Schizosaccharomyces pombe: one gene and its partners. The gene in region 2 interacts genetically with the main gene of each other region. Each region holds a gene or a part of one and is shown on either strand. Other genes may lie near its edges.

Region 1 (6,123 bases), 1.1 Mb from region 2:
AAAAGTTTCCAGTGCTCATTTTAATCCTTCGACTCTGTTGTTTCTCCTGAAACGTCTGGGCCATCCTGTATACCTAAGAGAGGGAGAGTAAAAAAATATATATTAACAAACAGAAAACAGGGTTTTTAGTAATTGAACACGCAAGAAAACCAAGGATATGCTAGTCCTAATCGAATTGCTCGTTCGTTGATCAATATAAAAAGAAGGTTGATTCAACGGGGTCCACAATTAAGGTAGTTCTTAGCGAACAAGAAAATTAACCAAAAATTGGTCTTATGAATAATTAAAGGAATTGGATTTATGAAAAGCTACTACAAAGCTGTTCCGCAATGAGTTATAATGCTGCCTACTTAAGATCTAAGGATAAAGGCAGTAGGTAAGTGTACAGAGAAGTGGAAATCTCTCTCTTTTTATATATATGTGGGTGTAAATACGTGTGGGGGGAAGGCTGAACTACTACACGTCACACAATAGGGAAATTCGTCAATAAATGACGCAGCTGCGAATCCCTGTTTATTTACGCTTGCGAAAAGACGGAAAAAATTTTATTCAAATTCTAACAAGAATGTAGTAAACAATGATTAGGTGGTGCAACGATTTACACTAAACCACTTTCAAATCAAAGCGTTAAGTGATTGTGAACGTATAAATAAAAAATGGGATGGATTGAATTTGGATTATATGTTTAAATAATTAAGTGGAATTTAACTAAAAAGTACAACAACAATATCATGAGACGATCTAACTGTCAAGAAAAGAAAAGGAACATTTTTAATGATTCGGTAACAACCCAAATTCTTCTATAAAAAAACAGGACTTTTAACAGCAGCCTTTTCTTTTCGTTTTATCCTTGTTTTCTTAGCTTCGTCTTCAAGTTAAGGTCCTCAATGGGCCATTGATGAATAGTAAATCAAAAGAAAGGAGGGAATAAAGGGGGGAGCTGCATATAAACCACAGCGTATCACAACACAATGAATGAATGGTGAGATGGCACGCATTTGCATAATTGACACTGAGACTGACATTTGAAGTGCAAATTACGCTTGCATACGACTTTGGATACTTTATGCTTATAACTTGTTGGTTAATAGTCGTCCGTTAAACTTTTCTCTTTCTCTGTCAATTTTTTTCCTCTTGTTTCCTTATTTCCTGTTCCCTTCTCCCTAATGGTTTTGGAAGAGTAAAAGAAATAGGAAACTAGAAAAACCAAAGACGTACTTGACTTGTTGAAACTTATAAAGGAAAATAATAACCGCAAGTATCTCCCGTGCTAAGATCAAGTTGGTGTTACACAATATTATACAAAAAAGAACCATCATTTAATTTATCCATACATTGCATAAATGAACCTGACACACCAAGCACACGTGTATATAACAGGTAAGCAAACGGTATATATATACGATACATAGATATCCAATACATATACACCTGTCCACTAAATAGCATGAAAAAGGGACAACAAAAACAAAAAAAGAACAAGAGAAAGGATAAAAAAAGAAGATAAAGAAAGGAGAAGTAAATAAAAATAAAGTAAAAAGAAAAAAACCATAACGTGCACAAATTAGGTAGCGCCAAGATCTAAACAAATTAAGATGTAGACCAGGTGAAAAGTGGTTTTGTGAAGATCAAACACCAATCGACCAGGAAAATAAAGAAAAGAGAAAACTTAGCGTGTTCATCATATTGAGAAAGGGTAGACAAATGTACAAAAGATCGCTACTAGACAATAGCGTCAAAGACACAAAAACAACCAATTAGATAACAACAAAAAGAAGTAAGACAACGAGAAAAGAAAAGGAAAAAAATAAAGAAAGAAATAAAACCAGTTTTGCCAAAACAACTATTGCATAGGAGTTTAGCCTTTCCAAATTATCTTATTAAATTTAAAAAAAAAATCAAGGTTTAGCCGATAAATCAAGCCAACTTTGCTTTCTTTCCCAAGTCCCAATTTCATCAATTCATAATTGACGGTTATAGAAAATAAAGATAAAGCGAAAATGAATAAGAAAAAAATATGAAACTGATTTGTCACTAACACTGCAACGGTTTAACACATATTGAAAACAAATCCAGTTTCCCGAAAGAAAGATAAAGAGAAGAAGAAAAAGTAAAGAACGAATAAAATAAGGGAAAATAAATAAATAAGATTATGCCAACAGAGAACCGACCATAAAGAACTTTTTATCGTTACCAAAATGATCACTTTTCCGATCATATGCAAAAGATTTGTAGCATACGATTATGAAAGTCATAAACACCATAAAGAAGAAATAATTTTTTGGTTGAATTTAAATAAAGTAAAAAAGAAAAATGTTGTTTTAGTTCAAATTTGTGACACGCAATATCTTTCTCGAATAATCCTGACTGTCAGCCAAAGATTCACTTGATTTGCGATTCATCATGGCAGGATCCAAGCGAGAATCTAATTCACTAGCATAGGAGGGATATTTTCCTTCATTTGCCGAGTCGCTCATTCTAATTTTGAATCTCCTGAAATAGAAGTATAGGAAAATGCACAATGCCATTACCACGGCGAATGCCACACAACCGATAACAATACCCACAATAGCACCTGCATTCAAGGACGTATGGTTTGACGCCTTGCTTGCATTTAGAGCGAGGGCAGCCGTACTGCTTGGAACTTCACTACTGGTTGAAGAAGAGGAACTGCTTGGTGTTACTGTGACAGTAGAAATAAAAGTAGATGAGGACATGGTCGTGATAAACGACGAAGACGAAGATGGCCGACTAGAAGATGAAGAGGAAGATGAGCTTGAAGATGAAGAAGAATGAGAAGAACTGGTGGAAGACGTTATTGGTACGGAAGAGGAAGAACTAGAAGACGAAGAGCTGGAAGAAGACGAAGAAGACGAAGACGAAGAGGAAGAGGAAGAGGAAGAGGAAGATGAGGAAGAAGAAGAAGAAGAAGACGAAGAAGAAGAGGAAGACGACGAAGACGAAGAAGAAGAAGAAGAAGAAGGAGATGTTGTTGTTGTAGTTGAAGATGAGCTTGGAGATGATGATGAAGACGAAGAGGTCGTAGACGACACTGACGAGCTAGAAACCGTGGTTTGCAAAACCCCATTGCCAGTCAGATAAACCGACCAGTACAGATCACCACCACACATAAGAGAACCATAACCTGGACAAGGCGTTGTGCAAAGAGAACTTGAAACTTCTGTAGCAGTAAGTGTACTACCGCAATAACATTGATTATTACGGATAGCTACAAATGCTATATTATCAGATCCACCACAAATGTTGTTATAGCAATACGCTGGATCAAGATAGGTAAACGTGCCTTGTTCAGTTAAGCTACTATCCACGAGATAACAGCCATATTGAGTGTTCATGTCAGCCGCCACCAACCGAGTAGAAATTATCAAAAGGTAAACAAAAAATAGTAACCTCCCCTTAAAGGGAGAGGAATTTAAAAAGACCATGGAAATTAAATCGTGCGTAAGTATAATAGGAATGAAAATTAAAACTTAAATTTGGTAATAAAAATTTTGCCCTCAGTAAATTAAGTTGTTTTGTCTATAGACTAAAGAGAAAACAAATTATTGGACCAGTTAAGAGAAATATTATCAAAAGGCGCAAACCGAATGAAAGAAAAGAAAGATTGGGTAAATAAAATAAAGAGCGTAAAAATTCAAATGCCAATGAAGAAAATAATTGTTGCAAAATCACTTCTTTATCAACATGAAAAAGAAAACAATAAAGGATAAAGGCTCAGCAACGCAAAATCAAGAATTATTAAGACCGAGCAGTTGGTGAAAAGTACTCAATATCCAACTTCGTTTGTTCCGAAATTAAAAACAGAATTTAAAAAAAGAACGAATAAAAAGTAAAGAGTAAAGATTAATTCAGAATTAAAAAAGAACGCGAATTCCTGAAGTTCAACAAAATACTCGGGGACGAAAGTACAAACCCGTACCGAACTTGGCTATCCACAGAGCTTCCGTTTGAATCGTTTCTTCGAGCTTCCCAGGCTTGAAAACTCCTTTACTTTAAACAATACACTAGTTCCTTAATAAGGATACAGTGTTTGACAGATTGTCGTCAAAAAACACTTAAGAATTCGATTAGTTGTTAAGTGGAAAAGTTAGCTCCGACGGGCCCCATAAAGGCTGAAGTCAGTCGAACCTAGGCGAACACTATTGACCCTTACCGAAACGGTATTTTTGCCTTATACTATTTAACGAATGAAAAAGGCTCCGATTGATACTTGGTTGAAACTGCGAATAGTGCGATGTTGGGTATCACTATTGACCGATATTGCCTGTTAAAATGACCTAAACGTTACTTTACATAACTCCTTATACTGTATTACACGTGTTATATATTAAACGCTAACTGATTTTACGATTATCTTCTTTAAATAGCAATAATAACTCTGTACACTGCGATATCACCGTTTTGTAGAACTTCTTTAGCTGCAGTATGCCCATAGCAGCAACTTACATATTCAATTGCTCCTGTAGTGAGAATAATTATTCTGTCTATTTAAATGAAGTTTATATCTTAAAATAAAAGATAGTTATCTTTCTGGATTTCCGGTTTATCTCTTGAATGGAAAGACACCATGTCGAAGTACCCACGGTTAATTTTTTACTTCACATCAATATGTACAAATCGCTAATTTGAATATGATGCTTAACCTAGAATAGTATATATTTATATATATATATATATAAATTGGAGTATTATCTCAAGTAAATAAGACACAGCTGATTAGTTTCTCGGTTTGACCAGTCACCCTGGTTTTCTAACCTAAACCACTTCTGCTAACTTTAACAATAGCACGTAAACTATCTTTGGAACCTTCATTTTCGGGATGACCAAGTCCTTTACCTGCATACCATCCTAACTTTTCGAGCAACCGACGACCTGGATTTTCTTTGCTAATTTCAGGGGCATCTTCTCCAACAATTTGGCCATCATATACACGTGTGGCTTTACTCGACCTCACAGAGGAAACAGTCATTCGAGATTTCCTACCAGATTTGGAAAATGACTGATACTCAACCCTGGTCTGTAAACGCTCCATAATCCTGGTAAGTGAAACCAAATCCACACTAGATGCATCAAATTTATGAGTTTTGGAAAGCATAGTATACCGCTTGTTTCCAGATCCATAACTTCTCGACTTCAAGTTCAAATCGTTGGCAAGCGCATGAACCAATCGACGAACATATTTTCTGCATGGAGGAAGGGAAATTTCTTCAATGGCCGAGTGCTTAAACTGTTGCATCCGTTGATAAACATCATTTATAAATATCTTATCAATTCGTGTAAGACTAGCATTGTCAGAATCGGAAGAAGACGGCTTCTGGCTTTCGCGCAAAAGTTTCTTTTTGCTTTTCTTTCCAAGTAGCCCCTCAGAGCGGAGTTTCTCCCTTTCCGCTCGTCTTCTTGCCTTTTTGCTTTTATCTTTAAGCCATTGTTCTTGCAATTCAGCGTACAAGTTCATGCTCTCATCGTCCAAAGAATTGGAAAAGGCATCTCCCATTCTAGCGGCCACAGCCTTTCCTGCCTTTCTCTCTAATTTCTTTTGAGCTTTACGCATTTTTTTAGGAAGTTTGCGATCTTTTTTCAAACCTTTTTCTTCTTTTACCTTCGCCCCTTTTTTGCTTTGAGAAACTTTTTCCGTTTTTTGAGTTGAGGGGTTATTGTACTCTTCATCCTCACTGTCATAATCATAAATAGTAAAATCATTTTGCAAAGTATCTCCAATACTAAGGTATGCCTCAATCTCGGAATCATCACTAGCATCAAAAATTGCCAAAAGCTCTTCTTCATCTTCATCTTCATCTTCTTCCAAAATATCATCTTCATCTTCGGCTAATGAATCTGTATTTCCCACAAGTTCCGTCGTTAACTTAGCATAATCATAGTCATCTGATCCCTCATCAAATTCTAAAGATTCCGAATCTTCAAGTGAAAAATTTACTTTACCCTCTGTCTCATCGTAATTTGATATTTCAGGTTTTTCTTTCTCCTCTTCCTCCTCTTCTTTCTCTCCTTCTAGCTCTTCATCTTCGTCCTCATCATCATCATCTTCTTCTAAAACGGAGAGGTCGGCAAACTTGTTCATAGTAAACGTAGTCATTTTATCGG
Region 2 (4,159 bases):
TTCTGTCAAGAGTATTGTGAGAAGACATATCAGATTCGACCGTCACGTAACCACGTTCAGTCTTGGAATTTATGTGAGAAAACCGAGATTCAGGGGCTTTAGTAGAAGGCTCTAGTTTTGAATTTGTACTATTACTATTAGATGGTATCGCCTCGCCAGCGATGCGATCCAATTCAGAAATGGGAGTTTTTGTCAAAAAAAGTTTTGCATAAGTAACTGTACGAGAACAAATATTAACAAACGTGTTCAAAAATGTCTTTTTACGTTTCCTTTGATACTCTTCATATGTAATACAATCATCCTGACGCGTCCTTTTTGACGCATTGCGTTTTCCTATCATTCACGAGTGAATTGTAAAGGGTGAATCGCGAGAGGCTGTGACACACAACAACCTGGAAGGATGAGCGCGTTCTTGCTTACGTTGTGAAAATACCTCGTTATACGAGTATTGCGGTATTTACTGTAAACAAACTACTTTTTGTGTTTATATTACAATGTTTGGCTTTCGAGCCGCTAGCTTTGCTTGTAAGATTTTAAATTATGTTGCTTAACATGTAAGTGTCCGTTTATCTTTAGGGCCTACTGTGTTTGATTTCATTACACTAAAATCCTACTTCAATGTGGGCTATCACTACTTTTAGCCGTGAGAAGCTTACAAGTATATTAATGTAAATTAAATATCATATTGCTTTTATAAAATATACATTCATGACAGTACACTGTGTTACTCTTTTAAGCGTTTAATAAGTAAGTGGTAGCGTATCGCTACTAGTAAATTGTTTTAAGTTCTGATATATGCCCTGAAAATGAAAAGATAAATCGGAAAATGTGAGTTAGTTTTATACAAACCATTTAACACTTCCTGAAGGGATCTTTGAATGAACAGAAAGCCCTATATTCAGGTTATCCTTCAAACAATCATTATTTCCTAGATAGAAAAGAGTCGTACATCAGCAATGAATTTCCTCAATTATCGCCGGGGTTTTTTATCATACTACGGCTCATATAACTATCAAAAATTAGCATTACCAGTTGCTCTTGATTCTTGTTTTTCTCGATTTTGAATTTTTTGTTATGCATTGTCTGTTAACTATGCGTGAAATATCTGTTCTTTTAGAGATTCGTTTGATTTTTAGTAAAATAGTATTTACTTGCTTTATTTCCCTTTCTTCTGCTGCTCAATAATCTGATATCTTGCTATATTGTTTTCGTTTGAATTCAGTCTCTCTTCTATATTTCGTATATGTATGTTGCGATCAATCGTGTGTTATGGTTTCAAAAATTCAAAAATTCAAAAAAAAAGCCTTCTGCTGTAAGAATAAACATATTTTAGGCTTTCGTAAGTGAATTTTAAGTTGAAAATACCAATTTCAAAATTAGGCTATTAAAGTCATTTTAGTTTTTACTATTGTAATCAAAATGGAACTTTTTTACAACAGATACTAGCTTTAGATGCTTGGCTATCAATTGTAGGCTTTTGATTTTAATTCTATGGAATGGAAACAAAAGTACATTTTTTGGCCTAAAATTAGATTTTTATATAATAAAATATTATTAATTTCATTGCTATAAAAAGTCACTTAGCAGTGTTTAAGCGAGTGCTTAAAAGATTTTATTTAGCTATCTAGATCTGACATTGCTGCACTGAACCAACCTGTCTACCATTTGGTAGATTCAACTTCCCATAACCAGCACCAAGCCAGAGGAACTCACTAAATGTAAGAGCATGACATCCCCGTGTACGCTAATACGGCAATTTTCTCCTTTGGAGATACGTCCGTTACCACATTTGGATTTCCAAGCTGGATTTAATGGGATACCAACTTCAGCTCCAAGGTTGGTTGGTATCGTCCAAGTTCGAAGTAAAGAAATTCACCAACCTTTGGCTTTGGTTCAAATAACGTTAGAATTATGGAAAATTGAATCAGTGGTAATACCATCCTTGGGTATAAGTAATCACTTATCAGATAATAAGTGTCTGGCAAGGCAGGTTTTGTTTCCACTTCATTCCGAGCATCCTGAAAATAACATACCTCCTAATGATAATAATTATTCTATCAGCGATTTGTCTATCAAATCACCTCCACCCTCCCTTACTAGCGATTGGATAGTAGATTCTTATGCGTCTGATCAGGATAATCCTTCTGTTCATACTCATAACCGTACTACTCCACCTATCCCTCCACCTCATCTTCCTAATGCCTCTGGATCTTCGGTATATCAACCTCCTTACACTCCGTTTAGATCAGTATCCACCACATCTTCCTCTAATGACACATCTATCACTCCTTTTGGTGACCAAACTCCTATACTCTCTTCTTCTTCAGATCCTTACGCTACTCATAGGGTATGGTCAATGGACCTTCCCTTTGAAATCCCGTTTCCCGAAAATTCAGAAATTCCATCGACTTTTGAATTGAATCGGTCTGGTACAATATGCTCCACGAAATATGAACTACGTGCTCACATGAGTTTACTAGGGGTACCGGATATTACTACCACTGTACCAGTGTCACTCAGCAGGTATGATAATCTATCTTCTTGGGGGATGTATAATTCCCCTACTAATATTCGGCAAGTGAGTAGCGATGGTCGTGTTGTAGTAGAGGTATCAATACCCAAACTGTGTATTGGACCTTCGGATCTCGTCTCCGTCTTCGTTTCCATCATGCCTAATAATGGTTCTAAAATACGAGTACAGCAACTTTCTCTTTCCTTGGTTGAATACATCACGTTCATACATCCCTCTTCTTCAAGCCCAATAGTTCGTAAAAAGAAAGTATTACGTTACGAAGAAGATTTGGATGATATGAAACTTACATCGGAAGGTTTATCGAAAAGCCTTTCTAAACCTTTCCCCGACATTGATTTTGAAGATGCAAATATCACTGGATTCACGACCACCTCTGATCTTTACTCTGTACAATACATGCTAGTCATCAAAGTACAATTATATCGTGCTAGAAACATTGAAATAACAAACCCAATTATTGTTTCCCCAGTGGAACGATCACGAAGTCAAGCCTTACTTAATGAAATTCAAACCCGAGTCCTTGACGTTCGCCAAAGCCACGGAGGCGTTGTCCTCGAAGAAAACGTTAGGATTGTGCGAGCTTCAGATTTTTCCAAAAATAATATGTTTGCTTATTTGAATGATGACATTGTCCTGTTATCTTAGGAAGTTACATTTTTCAAGCTCAATCTGTGCTTTACTACAAATGTAAATCCCGATATTGTTGATCATAAGCCTTACCTCTGTATTTCCCTGTGTTTTTCGATATTTGCAAGCCTTTGGTTTGCAATTAAATACCCACTTTGTTTATTTATTTGTCCCTCGTTTTTTTGTTTGGTTTCAAAAGCTATGAGTAAAAATAATGGTCTTCTTGTTTTTGTTTTGTTTTAAAAAGTATTCCTGTTCTTCGACATCAAATCAATTTCTATTGAATATGTCTTCATTGTTTTATTTATTCACTAGATTTAGCAAGTGGGACTTTTGGTCACTATTTGGTTGCTTTTTTGTACAACTGACTATTTATTTTAAATTGTGTCAACAGTTTAAATCTCACTTTATTCAGAGTAGGTTTTAGTTTAATAAAAACAGCTTTAAACCTGCTTATATAATGTACTACTTTCCTTTTTTATGTGGTTTGAATATCACATCGGCTGCACTTATGTCGGCGTTTCCACTTTCATGTATGTGGCTTTGAAAGTAAAGATGTAGTAAGCATTTAAATCTGAGTAAGGCTTAATATATATAACGATTGCATTTTGTTATCTAATAGCCCAGTATACGGTTACACTCTTAAATCAGTTACAATTTTATTAGATATTAAGCTCATTGTGAGTAAAATTTTTCCACACCTCTTCCTTAAGTTTGTATAATCCATTCTTATAGTAGTATAACCAGAAGTAAAAGTTTAAAATATTAGCAATTAAATTTCTTTTGAGGAATGAAAATACGAGATCATTATCAAAGCGTTTAATACCCACTTAACTTTCCATCCACAAAATATACGTTTCAATCCAGGTATTAATATCTATATATTATTGACTACTTTATCAGGAAAAAAGATCAAACATCTTTAATTTTTGAGATTTCAGAAGCTACTGTACCTTATGCTAAACAAATGTTCTGGCTCTTTAACACTTTTAGCTGTTA
Region 3 (6,821 bases), on a different chromosome or scaffold from region 2:
TTAGCAATCTTGCTTAGCTAGGTGAGTGGGTTGTGGAAAAAAAGTTGAAGGGTTGTAATAAATATTTTCTCTAACACACAGTCACACACCTGAAAAATTGTAATAATTCCTGATTATTTTAGTACTTTAAATACACAGACTTTTACTGAAAAATCTATTTAAAAAAATTATAAAAACATTTATGTACACACTTTACTTTTAAGATTTTAGATGTCTTCTAAAAAATGATGTAGCAAGAAAAACCCTACTGAACGTGGCGATAAACTCCTGCACACTCTATCGAAGCCTGCGTTAATGCTGTTTAATACAGATAAGCAACTCGTTGCGAAAAAGTGTATTTTACGTGGTAATATTTGGTGAATGCTAAAACATAAAAAATGTTAAGGAGTTTGGAATGCATATAAAAGCATTTTTTATTATTGTAACACTGTTCATGTTATCTTCAATAGTATGAAAAGTTATCGATTACACATGAGTATTTTAAACAATCACAATAAAAGATAATGAATGAATATGCTGAATGCAGAGAGGTTGTTTATTAGTTGACTAAAGAAATGCATAATAAATCTATGGAAAAAGAATGATTCGTAACAAAAACAGCGTGCAATGTTGAGCAAATTGAAAAAGACACAATTCGTTTAATAAAACACACAATCGTCAATAGCATTATCTCAACCATAGTAAATATATGTACGTAGGAATTTTTAAAGTTATTCCTTAAAGAGATGAAGCAGGGTCATAGATTCTTGAAGCTTAGATTGTAATAGCATATATTATAATCAATTGATGTGGCATGCAAAAGATGTCCGGAGTAGTAAATAGTATTCCAAAATGCTCAAGGAGAAGTTCGCACAAATGTTGACAGTACTGTCATAAACGATCTAAAGTGCAGGACCTGCTGCATTTGCTGGAGGAAGTATTAAAGAATGAACTATAGGATTTTCTCCAGATGAAAATGGAATTGGCTCAGTGCTGTAAAGTATTTCACCTCCTTCACTAATTAACCCTCGGCCATCAGTTAAAAGTTTAATGTTTTGTCCCATTATGATTTGAACGAGTTCGGCTGTTTCGGCATTCCTAATTTCAATGAAGTCCGGCTCAAATGCCAGGATATATGGATAACACAAAGCGCAACCTTGAGGTTGGCCCTCCCAATTAATCATCCAGGATTGCCTAGATTTCCAGCCATTCGTATTAACAAAGAATGCAAAATCTGAATAACAGAGGAGAAATTCTCCTCTTAAGCGAAACATGGCAATCGGTCGAATATCTTCCCTCTTTTCTAAAAATCTAAATGAAGTATCAGCAGGATTTAACAAAGATTGGAATACGGCATTTTCCAAACTTATAATATCGAATCCCTTAAAACTTCCCACACAAAGCTTTGTCTTGAGAAAGTGAACGGACAAAGCTTCCATCGGCATTTGTACCTCCTAAAAAAATGTTAGTATAGAGAAAGAACGACGAGGTAACTCACAGTAAATATTTTCAAAGTTGCTTGATTGCCAAAAGGCTTTTTTAGAGACTGGGTCTTTTTGTTCTTCAAGGCACGATCAGCCTCATAAATCCTCAATGTAGTATTTAAAACGGTGGACTTTACCGCACAGACTAAAATTCTTTGCATACAAAAACCTGTTTTGACGAAACTAACATGACCTGTTACACGTCGCAAAGACTTTGAATTAATTTGTTCTACTGAATCAAGAGCGTCCAGAGGTAACTCGTACAAAATCTTCTCGGCTAAAAGCAATAGAACGTTATGTTCCTCAATTACATCTAGTTGAGAGATATTTGGTAATTGCAGCTTGAAAATGGGTTCAAGACAACTGCCATTATTACTTTTTCGAGAAGAGATATATAGTCCCTTGTAAGTTCCAAATAGTAATTTACGGCCCGCATCTAAAGAGCTGTTAACAAACATTTACTTCTTTAACATATTGTTTATTATACTTACCATAGGCAACGGCACATAATAACTTGTTGCCGGTAAACCAGGACTGACAACATATGCCTCGACTTTCAAATACCAAATGACGCTTTCGAATGATATCTTGCTGTTTCTCAATGTGTTGTTTCCATTGGTCTCTAGCAATCAGTGTATTGAGATAAAGACTTATAGAAAAACCACGGGCTCCAATAAATACTAACTGCAAACCGTATGCTTTAACAGGAGGTGGATTACTTTTTGTAATTGAAATTGGATTAGTTAACAAAGCAGAAGATGGTCGACGCGGAAGGCTACCTCTCGATGGCGAGTCTTCGATGTAAGAAATCGACAACAATTCTAAAGGTAATGGCCTGAGATGCAGTTTATGAACTCTTCTTTTCATTTGAATCTTTATCTTACACAACAAGAGAAAATTGTCCAGTAAAAACATGTGAATGTCGTTTTCAGTGTCCCCATTCGAATAACTACTGGCTTTTAGCTTGACGACGCCTTTGAAAATCAATAAGCGAGATGGATCAAACAATGTTAATTTTGCTCGATCCGCAGGGCTGCAGGAAAGCTGTTCGTTTAACTGTAACAACGAGAGTCTATTTTCAGTCTTCCCTGTTTCATAGTTAAGCTTAGTAAGAAATTCACGAATCATTTCGATTACACGAGGAATGTTTTCCGTATCAGGATTATCTTTATCAGTGTACTTAAGAACTCCACTTAATAGTAGCGGATACCTCGCAAGGCGAGTCGTAGGCTTGGTCAAATAACCATTAAGTTCTAGTTTTCTAGACTCTCGTAATCTTTCCACTTCATGAACATAATTCGCAAAATTCCTATTCGTACTTTTTTCACGCTCAAATTCAAACTTGGCAATAGCCTGATTGGCACCATATTTTATAAAAGGCTCAAATTTAGGAACATAATCTAAGAAAAGATCACCAATTGTGTTAACTACAGGTTGCAGAGTTTGAGTACGGTTTAGAGCATTTGACAAACGAGAATTGACAGCATGGATTTGCATGATATTATGAAAAACGCAACGTATAAATTGTTGTCGGTTGTTTTCTGGTATTACATTTGAGGTTGAAAGAGGCTTAATCCAAAAGTCACGTATATACTCTAGGTCTCTGACGAAGTCCCGTTCTGTGTAAATAACCTCAAAAATGATTTCCTGTCTTTTCCATTCACGGACATCGATCTGGTCTACAACTTGCTTAGGAACATTTTCCGACCATAAACGATGATCTTCCTCTTGTTTATCTGTAATCGAAGTTGATCCCCCACTTAATACAGGTTGGACCTTCAAATGGAGACGGGCCTGCTGCTCTAGTCGACGTGGGCAAGATATAGAATAGCAAAGGCGATTACGAGAACATGTAGAGGAGTAGCATTCCGTTAAAAGAGTAAACACTCCATGAGGATTGTATTCGGTTTCAGGAGCTTCAGGCTCCTTAGTAATTGCGCTTAGGGATGAGGTGATGAAAGCTAAAGAATTTACCTGTACAGACGAGGAGATGGTAGGTGTCGTAGAAGAATCAGATAAAACAGAGTCAAATGAATCAGACGTGTTCGCTCTTCTTTTTGTGTAGAGAAAGTTATTTTCGATCGACGATCCATTGGAATCCATCGAGGAGAGACCAGGAGGAGGAGAAATGATACGTCGGTACTGGTAAACTTCCTTGAGCGAGTCGCGAAGTCTATGAGAGTAAGTAACGTCATGAAACATCTTTTGCGAATCCAGGGCTCTTCCTAAAAGTAACGCCAAATTCCTGTCAGTCGTCCGAACTATATGCATCAATACATCGACAGCTTCCGATCCAAGAAAGGCATCTTTATAAAGAAGACCATCCTTCACACGGTCACCGATGTTAAGACGCTTTCGGAACTCAACGGCGACTTGAGAAAGAAAAGCCGGATGTATATAAGGGCGACGAGATGAGGTAGAATTGGAATGCGAAGGGGCGATGTTCGAAATCGCAGATGCAGACTTGGAGCCTGAGTGATGCTTAAGTAAGACGGCAGTTGATCCTTCAGGAAAAGATGGCATGGGTGCATTAACATGGACGCTATTTTTTCGAATGTTAGGATAAGAACTGCCATTAGATACATCAGAGACGGAAAACGACTGGCGAGTATGGGGTCTACCGAGCGATTGTATTTCTTTCCTACTACGTGCATGAGAAATGCCAAAATCATCTGTGGAGGAAGAACGGCGATAAAAATTATTTTTTTTATTAACTTCTAAGCCATCTCCAGGACCCGAATCTTTTCTGGATAGCGAAGAGGGAGAAAAGCTAAGGCTCGATGCAGGACGAAAATGATTGCCATCATTTTCATTAAGGGATGTGGTAGATGATAAAGCGGTAGGAGAATGTGTGATAGAGCCAGAACTCCTTCTTTGGAACAGTTTTTGGCTACTGCTAAATGATGAAAAAATACGAAATCCTTTAGCTGCTTTACCAAACGATTCATGAGACTCAGAGTTTATATTTCCATTCTGAGCTCCATTGCGAAGCATTTTCTTGTTTGTTGATTCTAATTTTACTACCCTCTCGAGGTATCGCAAGTTTTAGAAAAACGGCGCTATGCAAAGGGGCTTTTCTGATACCAATCGTCCGTACCGACACAACAACAGAAAGAGAAGAAAGATATTTTTCAAATTCAAGTAGTACCTTTTTTTTTAACGCTCCAATTACTTTCAACAATAAAAGGTTCTACAAGACAAGTCGTCTTATTTGAACATGGAAACTTCACCAAATTCCTCTTATTATACACGAGAAGCCGGAGTACGTATATTAATGCCAATTCTCCGGCTTTCCAATTATTCAAACAGCTTGGATACTCAAAAGAACGGATTTGAAGTGGATCGCTGCTTACACTTCTATATTATGGGTGGTGCTTTGGGTAACCTTTTTCTGTTATTGTGTACATACACCTAACACACACCGTTAACTACAGCCGACAATACTTGGACTGATATTACGCACGGTACCGCAATCAAGTGTGGCTGTTGCTATTATAGAGTAATATCACATTAAAGCCCTTCGATTTTCGGGTCGCTTGTGCGAAGTTAAAGTAAGAGCATCTGCGCAAACTCAGCCAGAGCGCCCACCTGTGTTTTGCTGCGATTCTATGAAAAACCGCAAAATCTGTATCCTAGCTGCATTAAGTACACATTAATGAGTCTTTGTTAACGAACTAAGTAATTAATTGATACATTGAGCATTAGCATATAACGAGTTCAGCATGTTGAGACTCCGATTGAGAAGTATTGTAATAGGAGCTGCGATAGCGGGATCCATACTGTTGTTATTCAATCATGGTAGCATAGAAGGAATGGAAGATTTGACAGAGATTTCGATGTTGGAGGATTACACTCCGGAAGCCGCTAATAAAGATTATGTTGGTCAACAGGAGGAGGAGGAACTTTTGTATGATCAACCGTCTTACATTGAAGAAGAAGAAGATCCAGATTTGGAAGCTTACTTGAGCGATTTGGAGAGGGAAGAGCTGGAACACAGCTTGGAAGAACTTGATGAAGAAAATAATTATAAACTTCATCTACGGTACTCCTTTTCACAGCTTCAAGATTTTGACGAAGAAAATGAAGCTGTACACATGATCGTTCCTAAAGATACTTATGAATTTGAGGTGCCTTATCACGCTGACATTCCCAAGTTAATATGGCAAACTTCCAAGGACCCTTTTGATAGAGAGGTTATGAAGTACACTCGGTTTTGGAGAATCAACCATCCCAGTTATTCTCATGCTGTTTTAGACGATGAGCAGTCTAAAGCATTGGTCATCAGTAGCTTTGGCGATTCATCAGTTTCCAAGATTTCACAAGCGTATGCAATGATGCCTCTGCCTGTTCTGAAGGCCGATTTCTTTCGGTATCTAGTGTTATTGGCAAAAGGTGGTATTTATAGCGACATTGATACGGCACCATTGAAGCATATAAACAATTGGATCCCTCGTGAATATCGTAAGCGTAATATTCGACTGATCGTTGGCATTGAAGCAGATCCCGACCGCCCTGATTGGAACGACTACTATGCCAGGCGTGTACAATTCTGTCAGTGGACCATAGCTGCTGCACCAGGCCATCCAATTCTTTGGGAACTTGTTCGTAGAATTACCGATGAAACTTGGAAGCTGCATGATTCAAAGAAGCTTTCGAAAAATGGCGAGTCAGTAATGGAGTGGACTGGTCCAGGTATTTGGACCGATGCCATTATGGATTATTTAAATTGGCAGTATGGCCCTTTCTCGGTTGAGAATATCACCAATTTAGAAGAACCTTATCTTGTTGGAGATGTTTTAATCCTACCCATAACTGCATTTAGTCCTGGTGTCGGTCACATGGGTAGCAAGTCTCCAAATGATCCGATGGCGTATGTTCAACATTTCTTTGCCGGTTCATGGAAAGATGATTGATCGTTTGAAATGTGGGTGGGTGGTCATTTCTTGGTATAATGTGCTTAAAGTGTTCGAACCGGGCAATTCGATAATACTAAATACACGCATTTGATCTGGTTTGGAAACTGTTACGGGTTGTGTTCGAGCAATTTTTGTAAATTATAGCTTGCGCAAACAAAAAAGTTTCTTTCGTGGTTGATTTAATCTTTCCCTCATAATTCTACATCTCTTTACGATTAATTTTGCATGTATTTTGTACGTTAGCCAATCAAGTTGGCAATATTGGTGACATTATTGAATTATATGAAGCCAATGCTTATGTCCTGATGATCAACTTTCTTTTTTTTTTTTTTTTCAGCGCTTTCATCAACGCGTTTTATAGCTCAGCACTATAATATTTTCCCTTGTAAACTGTTTTGAATTCTAAAGCTGTTTGTTTCTTTCAATAATTTTATAAAACTTT

What was found. Genes that interact genetically often act in the same process or in processes that back each other up.
Region 1: of art1 (region 2) and wsc1, extra expression of one rescues a mutant of the other (dosage rescue), as found in Schizosaccharomyces pombe (one study listed by BioGRID).
Region 3: of art1 (region 2) and rgf2, extra expression of one rescues a mutant of the other (dosage rescue), as found in Schizosaccharomyces pombe (one study listed by BioGRID).

The regions. Positions count from the first base shown.
Region 1 is NC_003423.3:1,297,170-1,303,292, forward strand, and holds wsc1 (transmembrane receptor Wsc1), read right to left. Parts: upstream 4,111-6,123; 5' UTR 3,447-4,110; coding exon 2,322-3,446; 3' UTR 507-2,321; downstream 1-506. Other genes in the region: SPOM_SPBC3D6.16 (uncharacterized protein), read left to right, coding at 1-91; SPOM_SPBC30B4.09 (uncharacterized protein), read right to left, coding at 1-64; sqs1 (G-patch and R3H domain-containing protein), read right to left, coding at 4,772-6,123.
Region 2 is NC_003423.3:2,363,298-2,367,456, reverse strand, and holds art1 (arrestin-related substrate adaptor for RhoGEF, Art1), read left to right. Parts: upstream 1-1,643; 5' UTR 1,644-1,726; coding exon 1,727-3,178; 3' UTR 3,179-3,642; downstream 3,643-4,159. Other genes in the region: SUMO deconjugating enzyme Ulp1, read right to left, coding at 1-340; PPR repeat-containing protein Ppr3, read left to right, coding at 4,117-4,159.
Region 3 is NC_003424.3:5,078,741-5,085,561, reverse strand, and holds rgf2 (RhoGEF for Rho1 Rgf2), read right to left. Parts: upstream 4,845-6,821; 5' UTR 4,458-4,844; coding exon 1,955-4,457; exon of another isoform or gene 1,953-1,954; intron 1,900-1,952; coding exon 1,478-1,899; intron 1,434-1,477; coding exon 882-1,433; 3' UTR 507-881; downstream 1-506. Other genes in the region: Golgi alpha-1,6-mannosyltransferase Och1, read left to right, coding at 5,186-6,376. UniProt on the Schizosaccharomyces pombe protein: Stimulates the exchange of Rho1 and Rho5 GDP-bound form into GTP-bound form. Controls septum formation, cell wall synthesis and localization of F-actin patches.